3 linked regions of the Callithrix jacchus genome follow. The protein of the gene in region 3 purifies or fractionates together with the protein of the main gene of each other region. This does not show direct contact. Links are inferred from orthologs where the notes say so. Each region holds a gene or a part of one and is shown on either strand. Other genes may lie near its edges.

Region 1 (9,879 bases), on a different chromosome or scaffold from region 3:
TGCCCACCACTACACCCGGCTAACTTTTGATATTTTTGGTAGAGATGGGGTTTCACCATGTTGGCCAGGCTGGTCTGGAACCCCTGACCTCAGGTGATCTACCTGCCTTGGCCTCCCAAAGTACTGGCATTGGCCGGTGTGCCCGGCCTATTCAGATTTTTAATATTATAACCTTTATGGGACAAAATAAAAATAAACTGATTATTGATTTTGATTTTTAAAATGTTAATTTATGCTTTCTAGAGGCAGAAATTTCTTTTTTTACTTTTTTTTTAATCTTTTTTTTTTTTTTTAGATGGGGTTTCACATGTTGGTCAGGCTGGTCTTGAACTCCCAACCTCAGGTGATCCGCCTGCCTTGGCCTCCAAAGTGCTTGGATTATAGGCCTTAGCCACCACGCCTGGCCTCTTGGGCAGCAATTTCTAACCCCCTCCTTCCTCAAGTTACTTTGCATAGCTCTTCCCCTTTGCTTTGTCAGCTCCAGTCATACTGTCCTTGTTGTACTTCCTGAAACTCACCCAGCAAAATCTATCAGGTCTAAACCTGTTCTTGAAACACATATCCCCAGCGATAACAGCTTGCTCTCCTACCTCCTCAAGTGCCTATTTAAAGGTCACCTCTTTGAAGTCTCCTCCCACAACCATATTTAATAATGCAAATTTCTGGACACATACATGGTAACTTCCATGTCTTATTTTCGTCCATAGCATTTATCATCTAACATTACTACAACTACTTTGCAATTCATTTTCTTTCCTAGAATGTAAGATCAATGAAATCAGAGATTTTTGTCTGTTTTGTTTACTGACAGATTGTCAGTCCCTGCCACAACAGTCCCTTAAAAATCTGTTGAATAAATTGTGCCTACATTTTGTTGAATGAATTGAATCACTTGAGGTATATGAGCAAAGGATCCGGTCTGGGATAACACAGCCTGCTTGAGAATAACCTCAGTCTCCCATAATACAGTCTTCTTGGAAACTGGAGAAACCAATGGGGAGTGTTGTATCTGTTTCCCATGTTGTACCTGGTTTGGAGCAGCTATTGAATGACATGGAGGCCTTATACCTATGTGACCGGAACAACAGATTGACAGGCAAAAGGTGTTAAAGCTTTTATGTGTCAAATTATCCTAAACACACCTTGGTCCTTATCTAGGGAAGCCATACATGCCTCTTGTGGGTAAATGGGAGAAAAAAGAAACGAATCTGGGTAATTGCTAGATATAATGGCTTGGCCATTGCTGGGATGAAGAAGCTATATCTACCCTATCTTTTGCCTTGTATCTTTCTTTGGTAAACATAGTATTTGAATCACTTGAGTCTGATAGCTGGTAAGAGGGTCCAAAGCCCTTAATGCATTTCACCTCAAATCTCCAACTAAACATGCATTCTCATCAACAGAAGGACATTTTGGCATTTTAGAACAGGCTTCAGTAGATCAGTCAAGCACCAAGTTTGAAGATATCCAAGTAATATCATATTTAGGTGATGCTAATTTAAGACATAAAACACAGCTACAGGTCAGAATAATAGAAAAACAATCAGGTGTCATTAAGTACCACATAACCACGTTCTTCACCTAATGGTCTTACTTCAACCCATTCTGTCAGGCTTTCCTCTGCACCATTCTAGAGATACTGCAAAGTCCTCAATGGGCTTGGTCTACTTGACCTCTCAGCAGCAAATGCAGTTGGTAACTTCCTCCTTGAAAATACTTTCTTCGGCTGGTCATGGTGGCTCACACCTGTAATCCCAGCACTTTGGGAGGCTGATTACAGATGCCTGCCACCATGTCTGGCTAATTTTGTATTTTTAGTAGAGATGGGGTTTCACCATGTTAGTCAGGCTGGCCTTGAACTCCTGACCTCAGGTGATTCACCTACCTTGGCCTCCTTCAACTTATTTAAGGATGCCATATTCCACCAAAAATTAACCAATCAAGCTATTTATTAGCTGTGTGGATTTTGAGGAAGTTACACCATCTCTCTGTGGTCTATAAAACATGGATAAAAATCATACCTATGTAATAGTCGTCAGCATTAGCCAAAATAATGAAAATAAAGTACTTCAAATTGCTGATACACAGAACACAATAAGTAACCATTATTCTATTCAATCTGTTGTTAAATCTTATCAGTTTGACTTTTGAAATGGCTCCTCATCTCCATCCAGTGTTTTCTGCAACTACTGTCACTAGAATATGGCCACAGTTTATAAACTGTTCTGTAAGTCATCTGTTCTCAGCAGGAGCCTATGTATAACCCATCTAAAATACAGACTTGGTTTTGTGATGCTTATGTCAAAACATGCAACATTTGAAATTCCTAAGCACCTTCCTGTAACATAATACACAATTTAAGAAAACATTGCTTAAAAAAAAAGTAACATTTTACTGGAATAAAAGTTACCATGTAACACCACCAGTTACTTTATATACATTTTTGTAAATCCTCACAATCCCACAAGGTAGCAGTTTCTTCCTTTTTTTTTTTTTTTTTTTTTAGACACTGTCTTGCTCTGTCACCCTGGGTGGAGTACAGTGGCACAATCTTGGCTCACTACAACCTCCGCCTCTGGGATGCATGGTTAATTTTTGTACTTTTAGTAGAGACAGGGTGCCATGTTGGTCAGGCTGGTTCTTCCATCTTCTTAAGACTCAAAGGTTAAGTCACTTGGTCAAAGCTAGCTAAGTAAGTTGTCTCAGGTATGTTTGATCCCAGATTGTCTACCTTCTGGTAGAATTTCCTGCAATTTATCACCATGGACTCTATGTTCTGACTCAAAATTTTTTTTCAATTTTTTTTTTAAAGACGAGGTTTCACCATGTTGGTCAGGCTGGTCTTGAACTCCAGACCTCAGGTGATCTGCCCAGCTTGGCCTCCAAAGTGCTTGGATTACAGGCGTGAGCCACCACGCCCGGCCTGACTCAGGAATTCTTAACCTGAAGTCCATGTAACTTTGGACAAGAATTCTTGGGGGCTCCATTAAACTGTTAAATGATACACATTAAAGATAAGGTTAAAAAAAAAGACTCTTGTACAAATATAAAATGAATTCATGGTAAAGATTTAAGGACAGTCATGGGTTGCATAATGACAGGGACACATTCTGAGAAATGCATAGTCAGGTGATTGTGTAAGTACATCACAGAGCGTGCAGTTATTCTATGATATATTCACACAAACCTAGGTAGTATCAGCTACTACACACTTACAATTTTATGGGACCACTGTCATACATGTGGTCTGTCATTATGTAGTGCCTGACTGTAAATGAGGAAACCAGTTAAGTGTTAAAAACCAGTTCAGGCTGGCTGTGGTGGCTCACAGCTGTAATCCCAGTACTTTGGGAGGTCGAGGTATGTGGATCACCTGAGCTAGGAGTTCAAGACCAGTAGGACCAACATGGAGAAACCCCATCTCTATTAAAAATATAAAAATTAGCTGGGCATGATGGCACATGCCTATAATCCCAGGTACTCAGGAGGCAGAGGCAGGAGAAATGCTTGAATCCAGGAGGCGGAGGTTGCGGTGAGCCGAGATTTCAAGATTGCACTCCAGCCTGGGCAACAAAAGCAAAACTCTGTCAAAAAAAAAAAAGCAGGTACATAATTAGAAACGTTGAAATAAATATTAATAAATACTAGTCAGGACAATAATTAATTGCATCTTTATTGGACAAACCTAATTTCCGTATTGCTTTCTACAGCTTAAACAGTTGTAAAATAGTTAAAAGATTATACATAGATAACCTGGAAAAGTGAGCCTGACACCAAGACATTTGTGTGTGTGTGTTTGCTATTTAAAAGTATTTCGTGGCCAGGCGCGGTGGCTCAAGCCTGTAATCCCAGCACTTTGGGAGGCCGAGGCGGGTGGATCACGAGGTCAACAGATCGAGACCATCCTGGTCAACATGGTGAAACCCTGTCTCTACTAAAAATTACAAAAAATTAGCTGGGCACGGTGGCGCGTGCCTGTAATCCCAGCTACTCAGGAGGCTGAGGCAGGAGAATTGCTGAACCCAGGGGGCGGAGGTTGCGGTGAGCCGAGATCGCGCCATTGTACTCCAGCCTGGGTAACAAGAGCGAAACTCCGTCTCAAAAAAAAAAAAAAAAAAAGTATTTCATAATTTTTTCTGAGGAAATTATAGGGATTCTTGCTGTTGTCACCCAGGCTGGAGTGCAATGGTGCGATCTCAGCTCACTGAAACCTCTGCCTCTCGGGTTCCAGCAATTCTCCTGCTTCCGCCTCCCGAATAGCTGAAGTTACAGGTGCCCGCCACCACACCCCCAACTAATTTTTGTATTTTTACAAAAAGGATGGGGTTTCACTATGTTGGCCAGGCTGGTCTTGAACTCCTGACCTCAGGTGTTCCACCAGCCTCGGCCTCCGAAAGTGCTGGGATTACAGGCGTAAGCCACCGTGTCTGGACTAAAATGTTTGTTTTGTTTCGAGACGGAGCCTCGCTTTGTTGCCCAGGTTGAAGTGCAGAGGCACGACCTCGGCTCACTGTAATCTTCGCTCCCTGGGCTCAAGCGATTCTCCTACCTCAGCCTCCTAAGTAGCTGAGACTACAGGCATGCATCACTGCTCTTCGCTAATTTTGGGGTTTTTAGTAAAGACGGGGTTTTGCTATATTGACCAGGTGGTCTCGATCTCCTGTGATCTGCCCGCCTTGGTCCCCCAAAGTGCTGTGATTACAGGCGTGAGCCATCGTGTCAAGCCTCGAAAATGTTTTAACAGGTGAACATGTATGTTTTCCTGAGAAACTAATCCATAACGTTTACTATGTTTTCAAAAGAAGTGTGCCAAAAACAGGTTAAGAATCATTGCTCTAGTCACTGCCTACAATTCAAATCCTTCAACACTAAGTGGCCTGGGTCTTTTACCTTGTCTGAATTTTCTCAATTTCCTTATTAGATTTTCAAGATCCAGGTTAAATGGCAGCTTACTCTTTGAGGTCTTCCACCACCATGTGGTCTCTAATTAATTGCCTCCTCATTTGTTTTCTCTAAGTTTCTTTACTAACGCACTCTGCATACCGTATCTAGCATTTATTGTTAGTTCCCTTCCATAACTGGACTTTTAACGCTTTGAGGACGATGGCAGAGTCCTGCAAACGAAGATGATAATTTTAGAATATAAATCCTCACGTTCGTTATCCTCTGGCAGCCATAGCTCAGCTCCGATTTGCGAAATAAGGCACTCTCTTTACTGACTACTGCTTCTGTCGGCATCCGTATTTCCGCACGGACGCCGTCAGTTGCTCGGCGCGCCCCAAACCTCCCCACGCAGGGTCCCTAAGCGCCCCCACTCTCGGAAGACGGGAACTACAAATGCTGCCGGAGGACTTTGGCGCGTGCGCATAGAGAACTTGGCCAAGGAACTGATGGGAGCGCGTGAGGGGGGCGGGGTAAGAAGGACAACAGATGATAGAGTAGACCGCGAGAAAAAGAACGGAGTTATTTCGAGTTCGCGCAAGCTGAGCGACCATATAGGCCGCCTGTAACTTACTCCGTTCAACTCCCAAAATAAAGGGTCAAGTACTGCGGCCTTCAGTTCTTTCAGCCTCCCGATCCCGACAGTCTTGGTTACTTTCGCGTCATAGGACAAGCGACAGCGTTCTTCGGTCCCAGTCGAGAAAGACAGGCCCGGACGCAGTGCGCGCGCCACCTACGTCACAGGCGAGGTGGTTTCCGGGAGGGCGGGGCATCGGAGAACGCGGCCGGCTGAGGGGCTCAAAGCCGAGGAAGAACATGATTGGCGGGTTGAAAGTGTCGGTTTTTGGCTGAGACAGAGGTGGGCGGGCTAAATCTTGGGTCCTCATCTGGTACGGTCCCGTGTTAATGACGTCACACTGTTTCGCGGGAGAAATTCGAAAGTGGATTTTGTGGAATTTGACAGGTGAGGTGAAGGTGTTACTCGGGATTTCCTAGGAATGAAAGGTAAATAGGCAGGGAGACTTGGGGGATTTGGGGCGAAGGGACGAAAGACTGCTCCATAAGAGAACCGGGAGGGATACTATTTGGAACCATGATTATGGTGATCGCAGCTGCTCGAACTGCTTGTAAAAAGTTGTGCCTCTTGTTCACCGCTTTTCCCAGGGCCTGCTTTGCAATTTCGAGTGTGTATGAGGACCAAAGAGGGCTTTGCTGTTTGTATTTGGGACCGAGAAAGGATCAAATCTCCATTGTCATTTGGTGACACAGGATTATGGTTATTAGAATCTTTGAAAATGAGATGTGGGTTTTCTTTTTGAGACTGAGCCTTGCTCTGTCTCCCGGACTGAAGTGCAGTGGCGCGATCTCGGCTAACTGCAAAACTTCCACTTCCAGTGTTCAACCAATTCTCTGCCGTCCCCTCCCGAGCAGCTGGGATTACAGGCCCCTGCCACCACACCCGGCTTATTTTTGTATTTTTAGTAGACACGGAGTTTCACCATGTTAGCCAGGCTGGTCTCGAACACCTGACCTCAGGTGATCTACCTGCCTTGGCCTCCCAAAGTGCTGGCATTACAGGCCTGAGCCACTGTGCCTGGCCTGCACTTCACTCCTTAATTGCATTAGAGCGCCCTCATCAGGCATATCAATTCCTGTTTGGGAAGACCTTCATTGGCCTTCCCTTGACTAATAGTTACTTCAGCTTACAACTTAGATTTTACTTCCTTGAAGAAGGCTTGTTTGATGATCAACACCAAGCCAGGTGCCCTTCCTGTGCTTACTCCTGCCATATTTTATTAAAATTACTGTTTATCACTCTGCCATACTGAAATTCGTTGAGATGAAGTATAGAGATTCCATTTAAATATTTTAGCCTAGCATAATGTCTGGCACGTCTTAATAAATATATATAACTTATAAATAATATGTAAGTGGCATATTTTATATGTCTAAAGGAGGAACTGAACTCAAATTACACATGATAGCTTTATTGAATCCTTCTAGGTTTTTTAGATCTGTATTCTCAAACTTTTTATTTGAGACAGAGTTTCGCTGTTGTTACCCAGACTGGAGTGCAATGGCACGATCTTGGCTCACCGCAACCTCCGCCTTCTGGGTTCAAGCAATTCTCCTGCCTCAGCCTCCCGAGTAGCTGGGACTACTGGCGCGCACCACCATGCCCAGCTAATTTTTGTATTTTTAGTATCAACGGGTTTCACCTCGGTGACCAGGATGGTCTTGATCTCCTGACCTCGTGATCCACCTGCCTCAGCCTCCCAAAGTGCTGGGATTATAGGTGTGAGCCACCGCGCCCGGCCTGTATTCTCAAACTTGAGATTCCATCACCATCACTTGGAGGGCTTCTTAAAACACAGACTGTTGGGCCCCAAGCCTAGACTTTCTGATTTAATAGGTCATTTCTTTCTTTTTTTCTTTTTTTGAGACGGAATTTCATTCTTGTTACCCAAGCTGGGGTGCAGTGGCGTGATCTTGGCTCACTGCAACCTCCGCCTCCCAAGTAGCTAGGATTCCAGGCACGTGCCACCACACCTGGCTAATTTTTGTACTTTTAGTAGAAACAGGGTTTCACCATGTTAGCCAGGCTGGTCTGAACTCCTGATCTCAGATGATCTGCCCACCTCGGCCTCCCAAAGTGCTGGGATTACAGGCGTGAGCCAGATGATACTGTTGGTCCAGGGGTCACATCTTTAGCACCACTTTAGGAACAAAAAAAGAGAATACGTCTCTTTGGCATTTCTGTTTACTTCTTCAGGTCACCATCAGTGATTTTAGATTTCCAAATTTTCCCATAATAACAATTTTGTCCAATAGCATAGCATGACTACAGTAACTGTTACAACAGTGTTGGAAAGATTTTTCCTTGCAGAGGTACTATATAATATATATTTGTTCCTAGATACTGTGGTATATTGATGTAAGATGTGAAAGGAAAAATTTAAAACACAAGGGAGCCATCTTGTGGTGGCTATAGCAATTCAGAAAACTTTAAACATTAAATTTAGACCATAAGGAACCAAATGTGGAGGACAAATTTGTATTTTCTGATGCATATTATGGCACCTGGAAAAACGTTTGCAGACTCCAAATTAGTTTATATATTTTACTTAGTTTTTTCTTGTGAAAAAATTCTTGTTTCATAGCATATCACTTTCACTGTGTCCTCAGTGATAGATAATTTTATTACAACTCCGTTTTCCTTGGTAGTTAGGTAGTCTTGGAATTTGTTGATTCATGTCTGTCTGTGGTTAAGAGTTTATTGAGAAAAATTATATTTGATACTTTGAAAAAATCAAGGTTGATATTTTATGTCATTTTTAATTTTAGGTTGTATAAATAGTTGAATAACTACTTCCTATTTTCTGGACCCAGCAGTTTATAACTTCAGAAGAAATGATGGAAAGCCAAGAATTTATTGTAAGTTTTACCATTTTTCACAATTGAAATGCCCTTCCTGTCTCCCTTTCTTCCTTCTTTCTTTTAAAGGTGCTTCACAAACGTCTTGCTGTATTGACAGATTTAGCAAAAACAAAACAAAAAACAGGCTACTAAGTTAAATTTGAATTTCATATAAACAATGCATATATTTTTTGGCATATGTTTCTGGCAACCCTACCTGTACCTGCTATTTATATTTGTGACACAAAATCATCACTTTTCAGCCTTTTGGCTAAGATCAAGTATTAGACAAAGTCCTTTGGAACCTATTCTTTGGAAGTGTGAGACCAGGAAAACAATTTCTTCTCTTAAAGAACTGGCACGCCTTTTCTGTACAGATGATTGGTTCTCACATGATTGGGTTTTAGGACTCTTCAACACTCTAGACAATTATTGGCCCCAAAGAACTTGTGAGATGTAGGTCTCACATCTATTGATGTTTTTCATATTAGAAGTAAGTTAAAGCAAATATGTAAAAAGTATTTATGATTTGACTTAATAGAAGACAACTAGAGTCTCATATTTGTTTCTACATTCAGGTTGCAATTGAATCTTGCAATATTGCATATACATAATCCTGGGAAACTTCATTCTGCAATCCTGAAGGAGTGAGGATGAAAAGACAGCATGATGAAAATAGTTTTCACCTCACAGACATCTGTAAAGGTCTTGGACTCCTCCAGGAGTCTCTAGACCAAACTTTGAGAACTGCACAGATTATAAGTACTGTGTAACTCAATAATTTTTTCCCTTTTCACGGATGACTAGGGAGCTCAAATTACTTTCAGTACTCATTTATCTTTTTTGTTTCTTCCTTGGATTTTTCCTCTCCTTTCTTCCTTCCCCTTTCTTTTCCTCCCTTACTCCCTCCCTCTTCTTTTCCTTACCTCTCTTCCCTCTTCCTTCCTTCCCTTTTTCTTTCACTTAATTAATGTTTAATGTTATTATCATATCTGTGCTTCTGTTTTTAAAATTTAAAAAATTGATATGGGTGTATATGCCTTTTTTTGATGAAAGGTGCCTGAAATATATTTCATATGTAGGAAGGATATATGAAATATATAACATTGAATATATATAATGGGAACCATTTTTTTTGTGTGTTTTTGGAAATAAGGTCCTATATACTCATCAGAAGATGAAGAAGTCAAAAGTGTGGCAAGATGGAATTCTGAAGATCACTCACTTAGGAAACAAAGTGAGTACAAAGCAGTTGACTACAGAGTGTAAGAGTGAGGTTCTTGATTTTTTGATTGGATATTTAAAAAACTATGTGATAAAATGTCAAATATATCCATAAACTGAAATGATGTGAAAACAGATTTTTAATCACAGTGGCTAATTTGTGCGTTATAAAAATAGTTCATTAATAACCTCCTGAAAAAAGGAAAAAAAAATAGTTCACTAGGCCAGATGCAGTGGCTCATGCCTGTAATCTTAGCACTACGGGAGGCTGAGGCAGGTGAATCACCTGAGGTTAGG
Region 2 (9,879 bases), on a different chromosome or scaffold from region 3:
GCCTGGGCGACAGAGCGAGACTCCAGCTCAAAAATAAATAAACAAGTAAAAATAAGGAGCCTGTGTTCTTGCCATTTTTGTCCTCTCAACCACTAGTCACCATCCATAGCTAGAGTTACTATTTGTTGAGGGCTTATTATATACTAAGGAGCCACGTGCCAATAATGGCAGGAGCAGGAAACAGCAAAGCCACGAACTGCCCAGGTCTGGACTTCTTGTTACATGAGAAAAATTAAGTTCCTATTGGTTTTTTTTTTTTTTTTTTGAGACGGAGTTTCACTCGTTACCCAGGCTGGAGTGCAATGGTGCGATCTCGGCTCACCACAGCCTCCGCCTCCTGGGTTCAGGCAATTCTCCTGCCTCAGCCTCCTGAGTAGCTGGGATTACAGGCATGTGCCACCATGCCCAGCTAATTTTTTGTATTTTTAGTAGAGACAGGGTTTCACCATGTTGACCCGGATGGTCTTGATCTCCTGACCTCGTGATCCACCCACCCCGGCCTCCCAAAGTGTTGGGATTACAGGCGTGAGCCACCGTGCCCAGCCAACTTCCTATTGTTTAAGCCATTTGTAGTTTGGTTGCTGAATGCAATCCCTAACAAACACAGACTCCACCCCATTCTAAAAGATAATCTGGGCTGCAAAGGGATATTTGGGATTACCTAAGCCATGCCTACATAACGAGAGTGCAGCCTCAGAACCACAGTATGACCAAGGAACACAGCACTTCAACGGTGAAGTTTTTTCAAGGGACTAAAGGGACACTAACAAAGCCTACATGGAAGCAAGGCAAAAAGCACAAGCTTGTTTATCTAACACTCTCCGAAGGACAGGGTGTTCCAACCAAACAACCCCAGTACCTCTCAGCGGAAGTTAATAAATTGCTAACTGGTTTATCAACCAGGTTCTTGTGGAGTTGATCCAATGGTATGTTGTGCTTTAAGTACCAACTTTTCACTATAATTACTTATTTAATTGTTCACTTTCTCCTCTAGACTACAGACTCTATGAGAGCAGGGACCATATCTATCCCATTCACTACTCAGAATGCAGCCCTAAGCATCGTGCCTAGTACAAAGTTAGCTGTGAATAAATATTCGGCAAAAAAGAATTCACTGAACCGGGCGCAGTGGCTCATGCCTGTAATCCCAGCACTTTAGGAGGCCGAGGTAGGTGGTTCATGAGGTCAGGAGTTTGAGACCAGCCTGGCCAACAACAGCAAAACCCTGTCTCTACTAAAAATAAAAAAAAATTAGCCAGGTGTCGTGGCTACTCAGGAAGCTGAGCCAGGAAAATCACTTGAACCTGGAAGGCGGAGGTTGCAGTAAGCAGAGATCACACCGTTGCACTCCGGCCTGGGCAACAGTGTGAGACTCCATCTCAAAAAATACAATTCACTGAATCAATAAATGACACACACACAAAATCCCCCACTGACTAACTCTGATGGAGTGAAAAAATTCAAGGGGTAGGACTGGGTGTGGTGGCTCATGCCTATAATCCCAGCGCTTTGGGAGGTTGAGGCATGCGGATCACCTAAGGTCAGGAGTCTGAGTGTGGTGGCATGTGCCTGTAGTCCTAGCTACTCGGGAGGCTGAGGCAGGAGAATCGCTTGAACCCAGGAGGCAGAGGTTGCAGTGAGCCGAGATTGTGCCACTGCACTCCAGCCTGGGTGACAGAGCAAGGGTCCTTCTTAAAAAAAAAAAAAAAAAAAGAATCAGATGTGCTGTGTACCAGAGAGACAAGAGAGAGAAACTAACAGGCTGTTTGAGCTGGTTCCTAATGTGGTTTGTTCTTGATGGACATCACAGCACTTGGGCTAGTCCAGCTTTGGGAGCTTCTCACACCTCCCCTCCTCTTGGATTTTTATTTTTACTATTGTTTTTTTGAGATGAGTCTTGCTCTGTCACCTAGGCTGGAGTGCAGTGGTGCGATCTCGGGTCCCTGCAATGTCTGCCTGTAACTGTTAACCCGTTAGCAGTTTATTAACTTCCACTGAGAGGTACTGAGGTTGTTTGGTTAGAACACCCTGTCCCTCGGAGAGTGTTAGATAAACAAGCTCGTGCTTTTTGCCTTGCTTTCCTGTAGGTTTTGTTAGTTAGCAGTTCTCCAGCCTTAGCATCACAAGCAGCTAGGATTATAGACTAGTGCCAGCACACCCAGCTAAATTTTGTACTTTTAGTGGAGATGGGGTTCCACCATGTTGGTTGGCCAGGCTGGTCTCGAACTCCTGACCTCAGGTGATCCGCCCACCTTGTTTGGCCTCCCAAACTGCTGGGATTACAGGAGTGAGCCACCACACCCAGCCCTGATTCATTCTTTACCCCCGGAACCATTCACTTTACCTTGTCCTTATCCATGACAATACTGGCCACAGGTCCAAATGCTTGGAAGTACTCAGAGAGCTTGGCAGAATCCACATCCCTGGGAAAGCCACTGACAAATACACTTCGAAGTCCCTGGGCCTTTCTCGCAGCTCGTAGTTCTACCAGGTGCCGGTGCTTTCTGCCTCCCAAGTGGGCATCGAGGCTGGGTCCTGCAAAGACAAGTGTGAGACAAAAACTCCCAAAGCACTCTTTAGTGAGTCTACCCTTGCTCTCTGCATACCTAATCCTCTGATCCTTCCAAGCCACAGAAACTGACCTTTGAATAAGCAAAGTCCTGGCTCCTTTCACCTTCCTCTCTTATACTTTTGTCTAAATAATACATTCTCTATTTTTATTTTTGAGACAGAGTCTCACTCTGTCACCCAGGCTGAAGTTCAGTGGCAGAGTCTCAGTTCACTGCAACTTGCACCTACCAGGTTCAAGAAATTCTCCTGCCTCAGCCTCCTGAGTAGCTGGGACTACAGGCGTCTGCTACCATACCCGGCTAATTTTTGTATTTTTAGTAAAGATAGGGTTTCACTATGTTGGCCAGGCTGGTCTTGAACTCCTGACCTCAAGTGATCTGCCTGTCTCAGCCTCCCAAAGTGCTGGGATTACAGGCATGAGCCACCGCACCTGGCCTAAATAGTACATTTTCTAAGTGGTTCCCAAGAGAACTGGCTACACAAGTATTTTGTTTACTTTTATTTTTAATTTTTACTTAAAGACCAGTGCGACAGTATAGCTTAAACCACCTATTTGTGCTAGGTAGAGTTGGAAAGAAATTAACAGGTAACTTATCCAGGTCATCCACAGAAAAGCTAGATACTAGGATTCAGGCCAGGCACGGTGGCTCACACCTGTATTCCCAGCACTTTGGGAGGCCTAGGCGGGCAGATTACGAGGTCAAGAGATCAAGACCATCCTGGCCAACATGGTGAAACCCCATCTCTACTAAAAATACAAAAATCAGCTGGGCGTGGTGGCACGTGCCTGTAGTCCCAGCTACTCAGGAGGCTGAGGCAGAAGAATCGCTTGAACCCGGGAGGTGGAGGTTGCAGAGAGCCAAGATCGTGCCACTGCACTCCAGCCTGGTGACAGAGCAAGACTCCATCTCAAAACAACAACAACAACAAAAAGTATTAGGATCCTGGAATACTTCGTGGGTCATCTCTGGGTATGGTATGGTATAGTGATGTCAAGGGCAGGATCTGAAATCACACTGCCCAAGTTCAAGTCCCAACTCTGTGAAGCTGTATGAAATCTTGGTCAAGTTACAAAGCCTCTCTGTGCACCTACTTCCTCAGATATAAAATGGAAATAAAAGTACCTAGCACCAAACACACAGGTATTATTCATATATATCACTTGGAGAGTCTCGTACATGGTAAATGTCAAAAAACTAGCCATTGCTATTATTTTATTATGAGTTAGCTGCTTGATGTCAAAGTAAATGTGGGGCCAAGGAAGACGCCTAGGTTTCTGGCCTGGCCTATTGGATGAACAGTGATAGTGCCATTCACAGAGAAAAGGAAGAATGGAAGTAGACCCACAGGGAAGACTGTGATTCCAGACTTCAAAAGTGGGGCCAGCACTTTGGTTCACGCCTGTAATCCCAGTACTTTGAAGGCCAAGAGGGGAAGATCACTTGAGGCCAGGAGTTGGAAACCAGCCTAGATAACATGGCAAAACCCTGTATCTACAGAAAAACAAAAAATTAGACAGGTGTGGTGGTACGCGCCTGTCCACCCAGCTACTTGGGAGGCTAACCAGGAGAATGGCTTGAGCCTGGGAGGTTGAGGCTGCAGTGAACCAAGATCACAACACTGCACTGCAGCCTAGGTGACAGAGCAAGAGCCTGTTTCAGAAGGAAAAAAAAAAAAAGTGGAATTTGCGGTTTTGATAAACTCCTTCTCTGTCATACAAGAACCTTGTCTGTTTTTCGAAACCCATCTTCTGTCTCTTTCTCACTGGTACCTTATGGTCTAGTCATTCATGCCACCTATTTCATCCGTCCCCACCTTTGAGTAAGTCCTCTGTAGGGCTTCTCTGACTTAGTTACCGATTCTCTGTGGTCCCACAGTTCTCCAAACATAACTACAAAGCATTGAAACTTTCTCCATCTCTAGAGGGTGAGCCCCTCCATCTCTGAACCCCCTTCCCCCACCCTAAAGATCAGCAGAATACCAGCCACAGAGCATATGTCCTACAGATGACGGTTAAAGAAGGAATAAAACAATGAAACTTGCGTCGTGGAGATGTCATATACTGAGGAGGAGTGTAATGTGGTGGGACTTTCTCGACTCTCCAAATCCCCTCGAACTTGCGGAGTAAAAACGGAGGTGAGACCCTACCAACCGACTTGACAGGAACGAAGACCTATAACCCTAACTTTCGCCAGGATCAAAAGACTAAAGCCCGTAACCACCCAGGTCCCTCACTAGCCACCGCTTACGGTTGGCTGTAGTAACGTGGCACAGGCAGCAGCGGAAACCCCCACGCGGCAGCGATTCGACATCCGAATCCACCGCCGCCATAGCGACTCTCCTGTACCGACAAATACACAAGCACCTCTGCCACCACCAGAACCCACTTCTCCAAAGCTCAACGCGCTCGGAAGTAACTTCCGCCCGTCCGATAGGAAGTGACAAAAAGTCTTCCAATTGCGCGGACAAACTCCTCCGGAAACCAAGCTCCAGCTACTCCGGGTTCCGTTTCTAGCCGGTGTCAAGTCCCCGCCCATTTTGGGAAAAGCCGCGCCTTACGATGCTTATCTGCATGCAGTAAGCCGATTGGTGTGCTCTAAACTGTTCAGACGCCGATTGGCCCAAAGGGCGTAAATATTTATGACAGCAGCCACAAAGGCCGGCGCTGGGTGGTGTCTCGCGGCCCCTCCTTCTCCCAGCAGTAAACACTCGTGCTTCCTTACCTTCGACCCTTATTTGCCCGACGAATAAAGGCGGAGGAGGATCGGCGGCTTTCAGTCCTTTGCCCCACGGAGCCCAGGACTGTCCCTGGACTTCCAATCTTTTCAGGGCTGGTACTCCCTCCCTTTCCTCCCATTGTCCTCTCGCAAAACGGGTATTCTGCGACTGCTTCTAGCCCTAGTTAGGGAGCTCTGCCACTATCGGGCACCTTCCGGACTCCATGAGGTCCCGGGAGCCAGGACCATTCCTTCCGCAGTATTGGGCTGCGTGGTGTACTCCGGAGGTGCCAGAGCCACTGTCGCACCTCGGAGCAGTGCGACAGTGCGACAAGACAAAACCGAGTGCTGGTAACCTAGTAAAGACACTGGAGGGGAGAAATGCTGTTGAACCCCAGCAGGTATAATTGTCAGTTCCTCCGAACACCGCTGAGATGAAGGCTCGGGACAGTGAGGGGCTACCTACGGGAGCTGGGGATGCCCTAGGGACAGGGACCATAACAAGGTGCAGAGGACCATCATGTGGGCTCGGCAGCTTGTACTGTAGTTATCAGCCCACAGCTTTGAATGATGCAAAGAGAAATGGACTTAAGGCGACAGCGAGCAAGTCGCAAGTGCTGAGGCTGTTCCCCATCTCTAAAGGAAGTGCCCAAGGAGCACACAGTAGGCTGAACTTTTTGTTCTCTCCCCTAAGGTGTTCCTTCTAATGGGCCCAACTCAGGCATCTAATCTCAGTGTCCCAAACCTTTAAAGCAGGAAATGGTGTTACAGTGAATCAGGATATCAAGGCAGTTGCTAAGGCTGGCCTTGAGGCTCCTGAGGCAGTAAGCAGGCTGTAAACATACACCCAGAGGTGCTCAGGTGTTCAGTGGTAGAATTCTCACCTGCCAAGTAACACCACACAGCTAGGTGAAAGGATCCTCCTTTAACCCCACCACCACCAAGGTGTTATACATCTCACCCTGGCTGCTAGCAACTTCCAGAATTCCTTAAATAAAAGGGAGAGGGGAGTAAGAGGTAGGAAACAGAGGAAAAAACACCTCCAGTGTCCTTTCCTGTGGAGGCCACCAGCCACCCAGAAAGCTCATCTCAACTCCTTTGAACGAATCTGGGCCAATTGGTGCTTGGGCTCCAGCACCACTGGGAGCTAGGGAGCAATTTGGGTCCCACCAGAAGGCTAGCTGGAGCAAGTCACCTCTGTCCAGGCTGCATATCTCATAAAGCTGTTCCCAGGGTAAGAACCATCTGTGCTGCCCTTGTTGTCCTTTGTCCTTTATTCTCTCTCAAAGACACCCCCTACACACACAACACACACCCATGGCAGAGAACAGCTGAGCCAGGAGAAGCTGAAGAAAACAGCTTTTTATTTGTTACTATAAGAACCAATTACAGAATCCGAGGTTAAAAAAACGGACAAAAGATCTTTATTTCTGAGAACTGGCGTACAAAAGGCGGAGGGGGAGGGGAGGGAAGGAAAGAGCGAGCGTGGCCTGGGGTTGATGCCAGCTTAGGGGCCTCAAACTCCAATTAGGAAAGTCCGGACACCGGACAGAAAGAGAAACCCCCAATTAGGAAAAAAAAAAAAAAAAAAAAAAGACATGGCAGTGCACGCCCCCCTCCCCCAACCAGGTACCACCACCTGATATCTGTGCACTCTTCCCCTTCCCATCCCCTTTCACAAAGGGAGGCAAAATTTTTAAAAAATTAAAAAACCCTTCCCCCCCAAAACTGTCCAAGACATCTGTGGGTCCTACCCCCCAAAATAGGCTAGGTTTCCACATGGGCCAAGTTCCTGCAGTCTGTCCTCCATCAGCAAGCACGGAGGCATAAGGAGACAAGTCTCGAGGTGGTAACACCAGAGGGCGCCCAACCCCTCCAGGGACACACACACTTGCTCCCTTCCTTTATTCACTCCTCACTCCCTTTGACAGGAAAGGGAAGGGAGGTTCAGGTGCCCTGGGCATCCACCCTCTACCTCTCAGCCCACCTCCCTTCCCCACAGGTGCTCAATCCTCCAGGACAATAGGCTCATTGGTGCTGGCAGGATGTGAGGGTGCAGGTAGAGGGACTGGGGGCCGCACTGCAATCAGCGTTGGCTTCACCTTCAGGGGCAAGTTGGGTCGGCGAGCAGCTCGCCGCATTTCCAGGTGGGTCAGAGCCTTGCGTAGGGCCCTGGCCAGAAAGAGCAAGTGGGAAACAGAAAAGGCTTAGAGAACACTTAAGACCTCCAGGGGAAGCCCCACATTCCCCACTGCAGTTCTGCCTTCTGGCCCATTCTCCTCTGGCATCCCCACCCTGCATCCACAATCTTCCTGGAGCTCATGCTCTGATACTGCTACTCCCCACACTCACCAGCCTGGACCATCCCTCTTAGCCCCTCCCACGGTGGACTGCCTACCTAGTATCTTTTGTGGCCACAAACACCACAGGATTCGGTGCATCAGCTGGGTTTAGTTTTTGACGTTTGGCTGCTGGCTGTGAGCTTGAACGAATCCCTGAAGCCAGAGGCCTTCCATTGGCAGAGAAAGGAACCCCTGCCCCTGCCATCTGGAAAAGGGTAGGATGGCACAGTGAGGGAAAGGACCCTCTCAGACTCCTATGAGAAACAAAAGCCCGCCCAATTCAGCTTGGCCCACCCTTTTCTGTCAACTCACAGTCTCATAGGCCCGTTTCACCATAATGCCCCCCAGTCCTCGGTTCTGGGACAGCTGGTTTCTGTTGATTGGAGTCTTGGTACCCCGAGGTGTTTTTGGTTTCAGGGGTGCCTGGGCCACTGAAAAAAAAAATAGTAAAGTTTTGCACCTTTACTTCCCTACACAGTTCCCCTTTGTTACTTCCATCTCTCTTCCGTGGACCAGCAGTTTACCTGGGCATCCCCAAAAGTAGCAATGGGGGAAGGTTCTGGCAAAAAAGCTAACTAGTATTTTTCAAGTATCAGTATGACCTTATCAAATCAATACAGCAATACTGAATAGTTTACCAAAAAAATTATTAAACAACGAAAGTGCACTTTTTTAGACTAACTCTCTAAGGACACTAAGAAAAAATGCAAGGGGTGAGATGTCTGATAGGGAAGGGACTGGAAGCCTGACGCCACCCTCACTGGTACCCATCCCATACCCAGATCTTTGACGATAGTTGCCAGGGGCAGCCGCACCAGAGGATGAATCTTCAAAGGAGTCTTCGCTGCCTTAGGAAGTCGAATGGAGCCTGGAGAAAAAAGATGAAAGCTTCTGAAGGGCTTCACCATTCAGGTCTCCTCTGAGGCCAGGAGCCAAGTCTAATCTTAACATCCAGAGAAACACTGGTCTCTGGGCAGAGCAACCCTAAACCACCAGCCCCACTGCTCCCTGCCCTTACACTCTGCTTTGATGGCATTGGCATTGATAGGAGCATAAGGTCGTCGGGCAGCCCGCCTTGGCTGTAATAGGTCCCTGCACATGCGTCTGGCAAGACGTGTCAGCTTCGTGGTCTGAAGTAGGAAAGTTTGCCTGTTTTTAGCCAGTAGCTTGGCCCGGTTGGCGCTGGTTGTGTAAGGAGAGAGACTTTGAGCTTCAGGTCTGGACAAATGACCCCTCGAGTGTGGTTCCTAGAAGAAGAGCATAGGAAAGAGAGAGAATAGAAATCAGCACTTAGGCTCCCTTCTTTCTTCCATTCCCTCCCGAGGACAATTTATTCCTGCCTAGTCTCTTTACTGACCTCCTGGCCTAGTGTCTCTCCAACCAGCATCAAGTACCCCCTGCCCATCAAACCATCACCATGTAAAGAGTTGGGTATTCTGGCCTTCGCCTAAGCTCACATCAATATGCTCACCGCTCTCTCCTACTTTTCCTCCCACTGGTCCTTACCGTGGTGCCCCGAGCGGCCCCCTCAAGCTGAGTTGGGGTCTTCAGCCCCCCATACTTCTTCCAATAAATCCAACAGGAAGCACAGAGGCGGCACTGCATGTTAGGTGGGCCCCAAGCATACCACTGAGCAGACTGTGTGGCTGTAGAGCATGGAGAGGGGACAGGGAAGAAGCATGCTACCTGAGCCCCACAGGTTCCTGAGCCACCGCAGGCCTTCCACCTCGCCCCAGCATCCCTGTGCCCCGTCACTCACTGTGGCAACTCTCACAAGTCAGGCCCTTCTGGAATCCAGCCCCATTCATGCCAGGTTTTGAACCCACAGAAATGATCTGGTTAGGGTTTGGCTTAGTGCTAATGGGGGAGGTGAGGAGAAGAGGAAAAAAATCAAGAAACTGGTCAAGGAAAAGAATCAATTTCCACTCTCAATTTGACCTTACCTCCTGCCCACCCCCACTGAGAGAGACACAAGTCAGGGGAAGGGAAGGAAACACTCCAGTCTCCCCACCCACCACACTTACTAGGTGGGGATGTAGACCTGTTTCAGTTTGCTGTCTGCTTCAGCAGCTTTCAATCTTTTCTGCAGGAAGGAAAAAAGAAAAAAAAAGGATCAGAGCCTCACAGCAGGGAGAATGTCATCAACTTCAAAAGCAGAGGTCAGCAGGTGGCCTCTGGTCCACCCTCCCCAGCTCAAATGATACCTGCTGAATATACCGGTCTGTGGTTTTCCACATGTAATAAAACTG
Region 3 (9,779 bases):
GATGAGTCTCGCTCTTGTTGCCTAGGTGGGAATGCAATGACGCAATTTTGGCTCACTGCAACTTGCAACCTCTGCCTCCCAGGTTCAGGCAACTATCCTGCCTCAGCCTCCTGAATAACTGGGATTACAGGCACCCACCACCACATCCAGCTAATTTTTTTATTTTTAATAGAGATGGGGTTTCACCAGCTTGGCCAGGCTGGTCACAAACAGACCTTTTTTGTATACTGCTAATCACAACAGCTACACAACAATTCTGTTAGTCATAACTGTTATGAAACAGTATATTCGCATTTGTTTTTAAAACATTTTAAATATACAGAAGTATTATAAATACATATTATGACACTCAGAAAAAATTCAGAGCACTGGTTCTCAAAGTAGGATCCATGTACCTATATGCCCTTGGAGATCCCCTGAGGATCTCCAAGAGCCTCTTAGGAGGCCTGCAAAGACAAAACTCCTTTTATAATAAATGCCAAGATGTTACTGGACTTTTTCACTGTGTTGACATCTTCAAGACAGTGCACAAGAAATGGTGGCCCTTAGCACAAATCAAGGCAGTACATATCTTTTTAATGCACTGTGAGGCCTGGTGCAGTGACTCACGCCTGTAATCCCAGCACTTCCAGAGGCTGAGATGGGGGGATCACAAGGTCAGGAGTTCAAGACTGGCCTAACCAACATGGTGAAACTCCATCTCTACTAAAAATACAAACATTAGCCAGGCGTGGTGGTGCATGCCTGTAATCCCAGCTACTCAGGAGGTAGAGGCAGGAGAATCGCTTGAACCCATGAGGCAGAGGTTGCAGTGAGCCAAGACTGTGCCACTGTACTTTAGCCCAGGTGAAAGAGCAAGATTCCATCTCAAAATAATAATAATAATGCACTGTGTGACGAAATGCTACATACACTTAAAGCCCTTCTGCATACTGAAGTAAATGGTTATTGCAAAAAACAGAAACGCATGTTACCGTTTGAGTTGCAAGCTGATCAAGCCACTTTTTTCATAGACACCATTTTTACTCGAAAGAACACTTGAGTGACAAACCAGTCAGTTACTCAGACCTGGGTATTTGGCAGACATTTCTGAAAATTAACAAAGTGAGGCTGCCACTCTGAGGAAAACCACTGACATTATTTGTTGCATGTGATAAAATTCAAGCTTTCAAGTGAAAATTATAATCTTTGGAAAACTTTTATCTGCCACCACAAGTCTGACAGCTTCCTACGTATAATACTTTTCTACTAAAATCAGTACAGATATGAACAAATATGATTTTGTAATACTATAGAATAAAATAAGTCAACGTTTGGAAGAGCTGCATGATTTAGTGAATTGGGATTTTTCCAAATAATGTCATAGAATTATGGCATCACATAAGAGATAAAATAGACAAGTGGATATTACTGTAACAGAATCTGTCAATATGGTTTCAGATTACACATGCCAACACTGAAGTTTTGCTATAATATGTATGAAAGAATACCCACAATTATCTGAAAATGCTACTAAAATACTTTTCTTTTCTAACCTTTAATCTGGGTAAAGTCAAATTTTCTTCACACTCTTCAATGAAAACAGATCACAAAAGACGGAATGCAGTAACAGGCATGAGAATTCAGCTGTCTTATACTAAGTCAGACTAAATATATATTTGCAAAAATAGAAAACAATGCCACTTTTCTCACTAAATTATTTTGGGGTCTGGAAAACAGTCACTGTTAAAACAGTTATTAATGTCAAATGATTTGTTATATTTAAATGAATTTAAGTGTTTTTGAGATTTCTCAATTTATAAATTATATAAATATCAATAGATATAAGTCGCATACCTAAGTTTCTTGGGATCCTCCAATTTTGAGTGGAAAAGGGATCGTGAAACCAAAAAAATTGTGAACTACTGATCTAGGGGAATATTCAACAAGCTTTAACAGTGATTATCTCTGGGGTGGGACGATAAGAAACTGTCACTTTCGGCCAGATGCGATGGCTCACTCCTGTAATTCCTACACTTTGGGAGGCCAAGGCAGGAGGATCACTTGAGGTCAGCATGACCAACCTGGTGAAAACTGTGCCTCTACTAAAAAAAAAATACAAAAATTAGCCAGGTAAGGTGGACCACACCTTAATCCCAGAAGAACTGCTTGAACCCTGGAGGTGGAGGTTGCAACTGAGATCACACCACTGCATTCTGGCCTGGGCGACAGACCAAGACTCCCCACCACCCCCCAAAAAAGAAAAGAAACTGTCATTTTCTATCACATATTTGTGTAAATATTCTGACTAACTTGGGCATACAGTGTTTTTTAAATAGGGAAAAAATATTCAAAAATAAACAGCAATGTAGCAATGTTATACAATGTATAATGTTCAAGATAAACTGAAAAGTTGGTCACACTGTTTATGTTTTCCCCATGTTATAAATATTGCTAGGCATATCTTATTTCATTCAAATAGGTTTTAAAGGCTTGTAACACATGTATGCTTTAACTGCATTTTCATTACAAAAAAATTTAAGCATAGAAAAGTCTCAAAGAATGGGTCATGCACAGTTATGACTGGGTTAGTAATTTGAGTTTTTTTTCTCTTAGCTTTTTAGTATTTTCTACTTTTCTATAAAAGCAAATATAATAAAAAATAAGTAGTTCCAAAAGGTCAAATAAAATATCATGCCCAAAAATAAAAACAAAAACAAATGAAAAGAAATGCATGGCTATAAGAGTTCCAGGCACAAAATATGATGTCTGGTTCTCTAGCCCTATCCATTAAAAATGTACCCACTAATGAAAAAGACAGAATGAAAGAAGGCAGCCCAGTTCTACGGAGTTTGCCCAAGCTGGTAGGAGTCGGCGAGGAGTGATGACAGGGGCATAGCTGACAAGCACCGCCTCCCTCCCCTCCCCGGGATCAGTTACCTCTCCAGGTTGTAATACTCTAGCCACATGTTGGCGTACTTGGCGTTTCCTCTGGTCATGATGCTATCCCAGAGTTCCCGAGCTTTCTGCATGTTATTGCACAGCCGAGCCTACAGTGCATCAACAGGCTGTTAGGAGACCTAAACCTTATGACATTGACACCCATCATACAACATACTTCCAACCGACACACATAAAAAGCACCCCATTGTAATCCCAGCACTTTGGGAGGCCGAGGCAGGTGGATCACGAGGTCAAGAGATTGAGACCATACTGGTCAACATGGTGAAACCCCATCTCTACTAAAAATACAAAAAATTAGCTGGGCATGGTGGCGCGTGCCTGTAATCCCAGCTACTCAGGAGGCTGAGGCAGAAGAATTGCCTGAACCCAGGAGGCGGAGGTTGCGGTGAGCCAAGATCGCACCATTGCACTCCAGCCTGGGTAACAAGAGCGAAACTCGGTCTCAAACAAACAAACAAAAAAAGCACCCCATGACTATCAGTGTTACAGATGACCCTGGGCATTTCCCAGGCCTCCCTCTAGTGGTAAAAGGCCCAGCCCAAACACTTGAGCCCTTCTGCAGTGACGAGTTTATCTGCCTACGTTTCCTGAGAACCGAGAGAGGGAGTGCATGGTACTTACTGGACAGTCATTTGTTTTCTTTTTTTTGTTTTTTTTTTGGTTGTTGTTGTTGTTTATTTATTTATTTATTTTTTTGAGACAGAGTTACGCTCTTGTTACCTGGGCTGGAGTGCAATGGCGCGATCTCGGCTCTCCACAACCTCCGCCTCCTGGGTTCAGGCAATTCTCCCACCTCAGCCTCTCGAGTAGCTGGGATTACAGGCGCGCACCACCGTGCTCAGCTAGTTTTTTTGTATTTTTAGTAGAGACGGGGTTTCACCATGTTGACCAGGATGGTCTCGATCTCTTGACCTCGTGATCCACCCGCCTCGGCCTCCCAAAGTGCTGGGATTACAGGCTTGAGCTACCGCGCCCGACCTGTTTTTTATTTTTATCAAGTGGAACTAAAAGTATTTGGGAGATAATGTTAAAAAAGACTGATCTAGTATTAAATGCACACTCTGCTACTAATACTTACAAATTGTGACTTGGGCAAATTACTTAAACTGTAATTCTCAGTTTTCTCATCTTTAAAATGGTTAAAACCTAAGCATCCCATACAGAAACTACCTGACAAATGTTAAGTCTCTTCTATCTGACTCTCCCTCAGAGGATAAAACATGATTAGAATTGTTACAATCCTACCTGCTGATCAAGGCAGGTTTTGTGTTTTACTGATCTTGGTGTCCCTGACCCAGTAATGACATCCAAATGATCATATCCTCTAATTACTTGTCAAATCATCTGCTCTCCATATTAGACAGAAGTCTTACTAGCACAGGAATTGTATCTGTCTTATTCCCATAGCAGTGGTACAGTGCTGACAAAGAGTACCCACTCACTGTGCTCTCAAAAATGAAGCAAAGAGGCAGAGATGGATGTAAATGAGTAAATACCTGGCATTCAGACATTTACTACACAACTTCTAGCTGGGAGCTAATATTTTCACCAACATATTTACAAATATGAGTCAAGTTAGGTAAACACCATGAACCCTTGTAGAGCCTACACTACTACCTAGGTAAATAACATAAATCCTTATAGAGCTTAGGCCATTATCTGGGACTCTGACTCAATTTTAATTAAGGTTTAATAGGATGCTATTAAACAATAGTGGATGAAAGTGATAGATTTGTCAAAAACATTTACCTCAATCCTAGCCCAGTTCTGCATGATCACGCAGCTTGGATCACCACTCTCATTGAAACCTTCAAAAACAGCATTAGTAAAATTAGAAACTTAGAGACAAATAGCCTTTGGCTGAAAAGGTACATCAACCAGCAAATAGTATAGACCAGGAAATACAACTGGGCAAAGCCACAGGCGGGGACATACTTACGCTCTTCCACCTCCTGCTTCAAGTACTCCAAGGCTCGAGCAAAGGCGGCCCTCAATTCCTCCAGCTCTTTACTTGAGTCTAGTGGAAACAGCAAAAAAAGGCTTTAGGAAACCATATAGCATGGCATTGTTTGTTTTGTTTTTTATCCTACGCTGAAACTGTCTGGAGACCCATTATGTACTGGAGGCATCATGCAAGGGACACAGAAATAAAATTGCCAATTCCTGCCCTCATCACATAGTGAAGAGAAAAAATTAGAATAGAGTATGGACAGCGTGGTGACAGAGGCAAACACAGGATGCTGTGGTGGGGAGTCTCCCCTAGCTGGGGTGACACAGGCAAACAGGAGAACGGCTAAAGGTTACCTGCATGAGGTAACAGCTGGCACAAGTGTACAAGTTAGGGGTTTTCTGGTTGTTTTCTGGGGAATAGGGGGGCAGAGGATCCCAAAGAGGTACAAAGATTTTTCTAAAACACAGCAGTCTTATTTCAAGAAGTATTTAGGATAAATAAAAAGGCCAGAAGGGAGAAATGAGAGCTAAGACTAAAGAGACTGGCAAGAGCCAGTATAAAATGTAACGACCATTACTCTCTTGCTTTACAATCCATAGCATGACTTGTTAAAGACATAAATTGCTAAGATTTCTGGGGGGAAAGTCACCCATGCCTGGTCTACATCATCTGCCCAATCACAATATATCTGGGGAACTGGGGCATCTCGCCAAAAACTGTATTAAGACCATGATCAGTTCTGAAGTGAAACACATGTGCTTACATACCTTGTTTGAAATCAACCCTTCTCCTCAGGTAATCAAGGTATGCCTGCCAAATTTCCACATAATCAGTGGCCTGGATGAAGCCAGCATTCAAAGCTTTCTCAAAGGTTACTGGAGTCAGAGAAAAAGTCAGGATTTGTTACCAATTCAAACGGAAGCTAATAAAGTTACTACATTTGACTTGACTATAAAAGACTACATGACTTTAAAGACTAATAGATGTAACAGAAAGAAATGAGCTAGACAGGAAAGTTTAAGAAAGAAGTTGCTACAGCACTCTACAGACTGTGTTCTAGAAAAAACTTCTTCCACGAGACGCCCTGCAAGAAGAGTTCCAGGTCAAGGAAGTTTGGAGAAAAAAAACTACAACTTCTCAGGAAATGCAATAAATATTAGCATGTTAAAAAGCTCTAAGAAGCCACAAATATAACCAGTTCATCTCTCACTCAGAGCCCTTTTTGTCATTACACTCCATAACCCAAAGATAACCCCAGGGAACACTGATTTAATGACTTTGTCCCAGGTCTATTTCTCACTTGGGACAAATAGCTTAGAAGTTCTCCCACAAAAACATCCGCACCAGAAATTACTTGATGATCAACTCCATGTCTCTCCATGGCCAGGAGGTACCGACTCCACAAGGCAACTGTCCAGGGGCAGTTTCTAATGGCACGGTTATGTACAGACAAAACCAAATCCTTTACTTTCAGCTGCCGGTCCTATGATAAAGAATTCCAGAGTTAGGAAATTAAATTTTATTGTCAAGAATTCACCAATCAACAAAACATTGCCAGCACAACAAGTGACAAAAGAAATGTCCTTATAAACATCTCTTGTGACCTTGTTTCTTAAGCAAAAAAAAAAAAAAAAAAAATCACTAGGGAGAGTGGGGGAGAAGAGAGGGAGAGAAGCAATTTACAGGTTAACACTGCCTTAAGAGACATCAGCCAATCCTACTGGATATACTTCATTTGGATGCTTTTATACACACACGCTGAAATATTTTGTATATACATACTGAAATATTTACCAATGAAATATCACTTCTGGATTTGCTTAGAGTAACACAGAAGGGGCAAGTAGGCGAGACAACAGATGAAAGTAAATTAAAGCTAAATTGCTAATAACTGTTGAAGCTGGGTGAGGGGTACAGGAAGTTTCATTTTACTGATCTGTCTACTTTTATATGTTTACAATTTTTCCATAATAAAAAGTTCAAAGAAAAAATATCAATTTGTCGTTAGTCCTCAACATACTTAGACTATATGTGAATTTTACTTACAGTTAGTGGCAATTTTAAAATAACTTGAAACGCTGAAACTTTCTAAACGAGTTCGCAAAGAGGAGGAAAAGCAAGAGCAGGGCCATATGCAACAAACTCCTGGCACTCTTACTGATTTTCTCTAAGTAGAGTCTAAATTGGCAAAAGTAAAATGAAATTAGAACAGTTATCTTACTAGGTACTGACTGTAACGGATCCATAAGTCTGGGACAAGGCAGTTCTCAACCAGGGCACGCTCAAAGATCAACTGAATGCGAGCAGGATCGCCAATTTTCATCTCAAAATCAATATATGCTTGATATTCTGCCAGCCTTGGTGCCTCTGCTTGCAACTGGAGTACAGGAAAAGGTATTAAAGTTGAATTTAGTTAGTGACAGGAACCACAACACATCTGCAAATAAAATAAATTGTGGCAAAGCTGGCTACATTAACTAAGAATCACCAAATCCTCACTCAGAGCCAATACACTACGGGCTCTATAACTTCTCGAGCAGAACAAAAGTCTTCTCATCTGGCTCAAAGTGCCAGTACATGGCAGTCATGACAAAGGCTCCATAAACCCTTTTCTAAATCCATTCCTAGACCACAGGGAATTTAAGTGGCCCATCAATCAGGAACTGAGCGAAAGAGGTCACCTGTGCCAGTGACCACTGTTAACCACCCTTCCAAACCAGAAGTCACATTCTTAGGCTGCTGAGTAGAGTTAATACAACCAAAGTGGAAAAATTTAGTGCCTGGTGCTATTTCAGGTTTCTTATTCCAAATATCAGTCCCTGGAAGAATGCAGATAAATGCAGAAGATGGAGGCAGCTGTGCTGAATGTTTACTGATCCAAAGACACACAATCAATTCTTTTTCAAGAAAAATCTTCTTATTCGACATGTTTTCTCTTCAGCCACATTTTGCGCGTGGCCATGACATACTTGAACAATTGAGGCTTTGTGAAACACAGGCACATGCAAGTCATTTATACATGAAAAAGAAAGGGAGAAGGAGTACAGGAGAGTAAGAAAACACACAGGCTGTGTATGTGGAAAGGGAGGAGGAGTATGGGAGAGTAAGAGAACACACAGGCTCTGTACGTGGGAAGGGAGGAGTGCGGGAGAGTAAGAGAACACACAGGCTCTGTACGTGGGAAGGGAGGAGTGCGGGAGAGTAAGAGAACACACAGCCTCTGTACGTGGAAAGGGAGGAGGAGTGCGGGAGAGTAAGAGAACACACAGGCTCTGTACGTGGGAAGGGAGGAGTGCGGGAGAGTAAGAGAACACACAGGCTCTGTACGTGGAAAGGGAGGAGTGCGGGAGAGTAAGAGAACACACAGGCTCTGTACGTGGAAAGGGAGGAGTGCGGGAGAGTAAGAGAACACACAGGCTCTGTACGTGGAAAGGGAGGAGGAGTGCGGGAGAGTAAGAGAACACACAGCCTCCGTACGTGGAAAGGGAGGAGTGCGGGAGAGTAAGAGAACACACAGGCTCTGTACGTGGAAAGGGAGGAGGAGTGCGGGAGAGTGAGAGAACACACGGGCTCTGTACGTGGAAAGGGAGGAGGAGTACGGGAGAGTGAGAGAACACACGGGCTCTGTACGTGGAAAGGGAGGAGTGCGGGAGAGTAAGAGAACACACAGGCTCTGTACGTGGAAAGGGAGGAGGAGTGCGGGAGAGTGAGAGAACACACGGGCTCTGTACGTGGAAAGGGAGGAGGAGTGCGGGAGAGTGAGAGAACACACGGGCTCTGTACGTGGAAAGGGAGGAGGAGTGCGGGAGAGTAAGAGAACACACGGGCTCTGTACGTGGAAAGGGAGGAGGAGTGCGGGAGAGTAAGAGAACACACGGGCTCTGTACGTGGAAAGGGAGGAGGAGTGCGGGAGAGTAAGAGAACACACGGGCTCTGTACGTGGAAAGGGAGGAGGAGTGCGGGAGAGTAAGAGAACACACGGGCTCTGTACGTGGAAAGGGAGGAGGAGTGCGGGAGAGTAAGAGAACACACGGGCTCTGTACGTGGAAAGGGAGGAGGAGTGCGGGAGAGTAAGAGAACACACGGGCTCTGTACGTGGAAAGGGAGGAGGAGTGCGGGAGAGTGAGAGAACACACGGGCTCTGTACGTGGAAAGGGAGGAGGAGTGCGGGAGAGTGAGAGAACACACGGGCTCTGTACGTGGAAAGGGAGGAGGAGTGCGGGAGAGTGAGAGAACACACGGGCTCTGTACGTGGAAAGGGAGGAGGAGTGCGGGAGAGTGAGAGAACACACGGGCTCTGTACGTGGAAAGGGAGGAGGAGTGCGGGAGAGTGAGAGAACACACGGGCTCTGTACGTGGAAAGGGAGGAGGAGTGCGGGAGAGTAAGAGAACACACGGGCTCTGTACGTGGAAAGGGAGGAGGAGTACGGGAGAGTGAGAGAACACACGGGCTCTGTACGTGGAAAGGGAGGAGTGCGGGAGAGTAAGAGAACACACGGGCTCTGTATGTGGAAAGGGAGGAGTGCGGGAGAGTAAGAGAACACACGGGATCCGTACGTGGAAAGGGAGGAGGAGTGCAGGAGAGTAAGAGAACACACGGGCTCTGTATGTGGAAAGGGAGGAGTGCGGGAGAGTAAGAGAACACACGGGATCCGTACGTGGAAAGGGAGGAGGAGTGCAGGAGAGTAAGAGAACACACAGGCTCTGTACATGGAAAGGGGATGTTTCAGAGCCTCCGTTTCCAGTAATGATGAACAATTAGTTACCCAGACACACTGTGCCATTCAAAACAACTAAAACTGCTAAATTAAGTATAACACCTTCTTAAAAGTGATCCACAAACTGGCAAAGAAACAAGGAATATTAAGAACTAAGGACAAAACCT

What was found.
Region 1: the proteins of SART3 (region 3) and LARP7 purify together in Homo sapiens (affinity purification with mass spectrometry; 4 studies listed by BioGRID and IntAct, counting the BioPlex papers as one, with this or other methods). This does not show direct contact. The link is inferred for Callithrix jacchus from reciprocal best matches to the Homo sapiens genes SART3 and LARP7.
Region 2: the proteins of SART3 (region 3) and TUT1 purify together in Homo sapiens (co-immunoprecipitation; 4 studies listed by BioGRID and IntAct, counting the BioPlex papers as one, with this or other methods). This does not show direct contact. The link is inferred for Callithrix jacchus from reciprocal best matches to the Homo sapiens genes SART3 and TUT1.

The regions. Positions count from the first base shown.
Region 1 is NC_133504.1:84,551,266-84,561,144, forward strand, and holds the start of LARP7 (la-related protein 7), read right to left. Parts: upstream 5,649-9,879; 5' UTR 5,516-5,648; intron 5,343-5,515; exon of another isoform or gene 4,891-5,342; intron 3,585-4,890; 5' UTR 3,466-3,584; intron 1-3,465. Other genes in the region: 5'-3' DNA helicase ZGRF1, read left to right, coding at 8,353-8,376, 9,515-9,595. UniProt on the Homo sapiens protein: RNA-binding protein that specifically binds distinct small nuclear RNA (snRNAs) and regulates their processing and function.
Region 2 is NC_133511.1:119,857,792-119,867,670, forward strand, and holds the start of TUT1 (speckle targeted PIP5K1A-regulated poly(A) polymerase), read right to left. Parts: upstream 4,991-9,879; 5' UTR 4,903-4,990; coding exon 4,821-4,902; exon of another isoform or gene 4,631-4,820; coding exon of another isoform or gene 4,615-4,630; intron 2,536-4,614; coding exon 2,345-2,535; intron 1-2,344. Other genes in the region: metastasis-associated protein MTA2, read right to left, coding at 7,295-7,460, 7,687-7,835, 7,943-8,061, 8,409-8,498, 8,649-8,877, 9,137-9,276, 9,390-9,487, 9,655-9,713 and 1 more. UniProt on the Homo sapiens protein: Poly(A) polymerase that creates the 3'-poly(A) tail of specific pre-mRNAs. Localizes to nuclear speckles together with PIP5K1A and mediates polyadenylation of a select set of mRNAs, such as HMOX1.
Region 3 is NC_133510.1:111,417,696-111,427,474, forward strand, and holds part of SART3 (spliceosome associated factor 3, U4/U6 recycling protein), read right to left. Parts: intron 7,272-9,779; coding exon 7,116-7,271; intron 6,378-7,115; coding exon 6,239-6,377; intron 5,770-6,238; coding exon 5,662-5,769; intron 4,961-5,661; coding exon 4,883-4,960; intron 4,752-4,882; coding exon 4,693-4,751; intron 3,030-4,692; coding exon 2,920-3,029; intron 1-2,919. UniProt on the Homo sapiens protein: U6 snRNP-binding protein that functions as a recycling factor of the splicing machinery. Promotes the initial reassembly of U4 and U6 snRNPs following their ejection from the spliceosome during its maturation.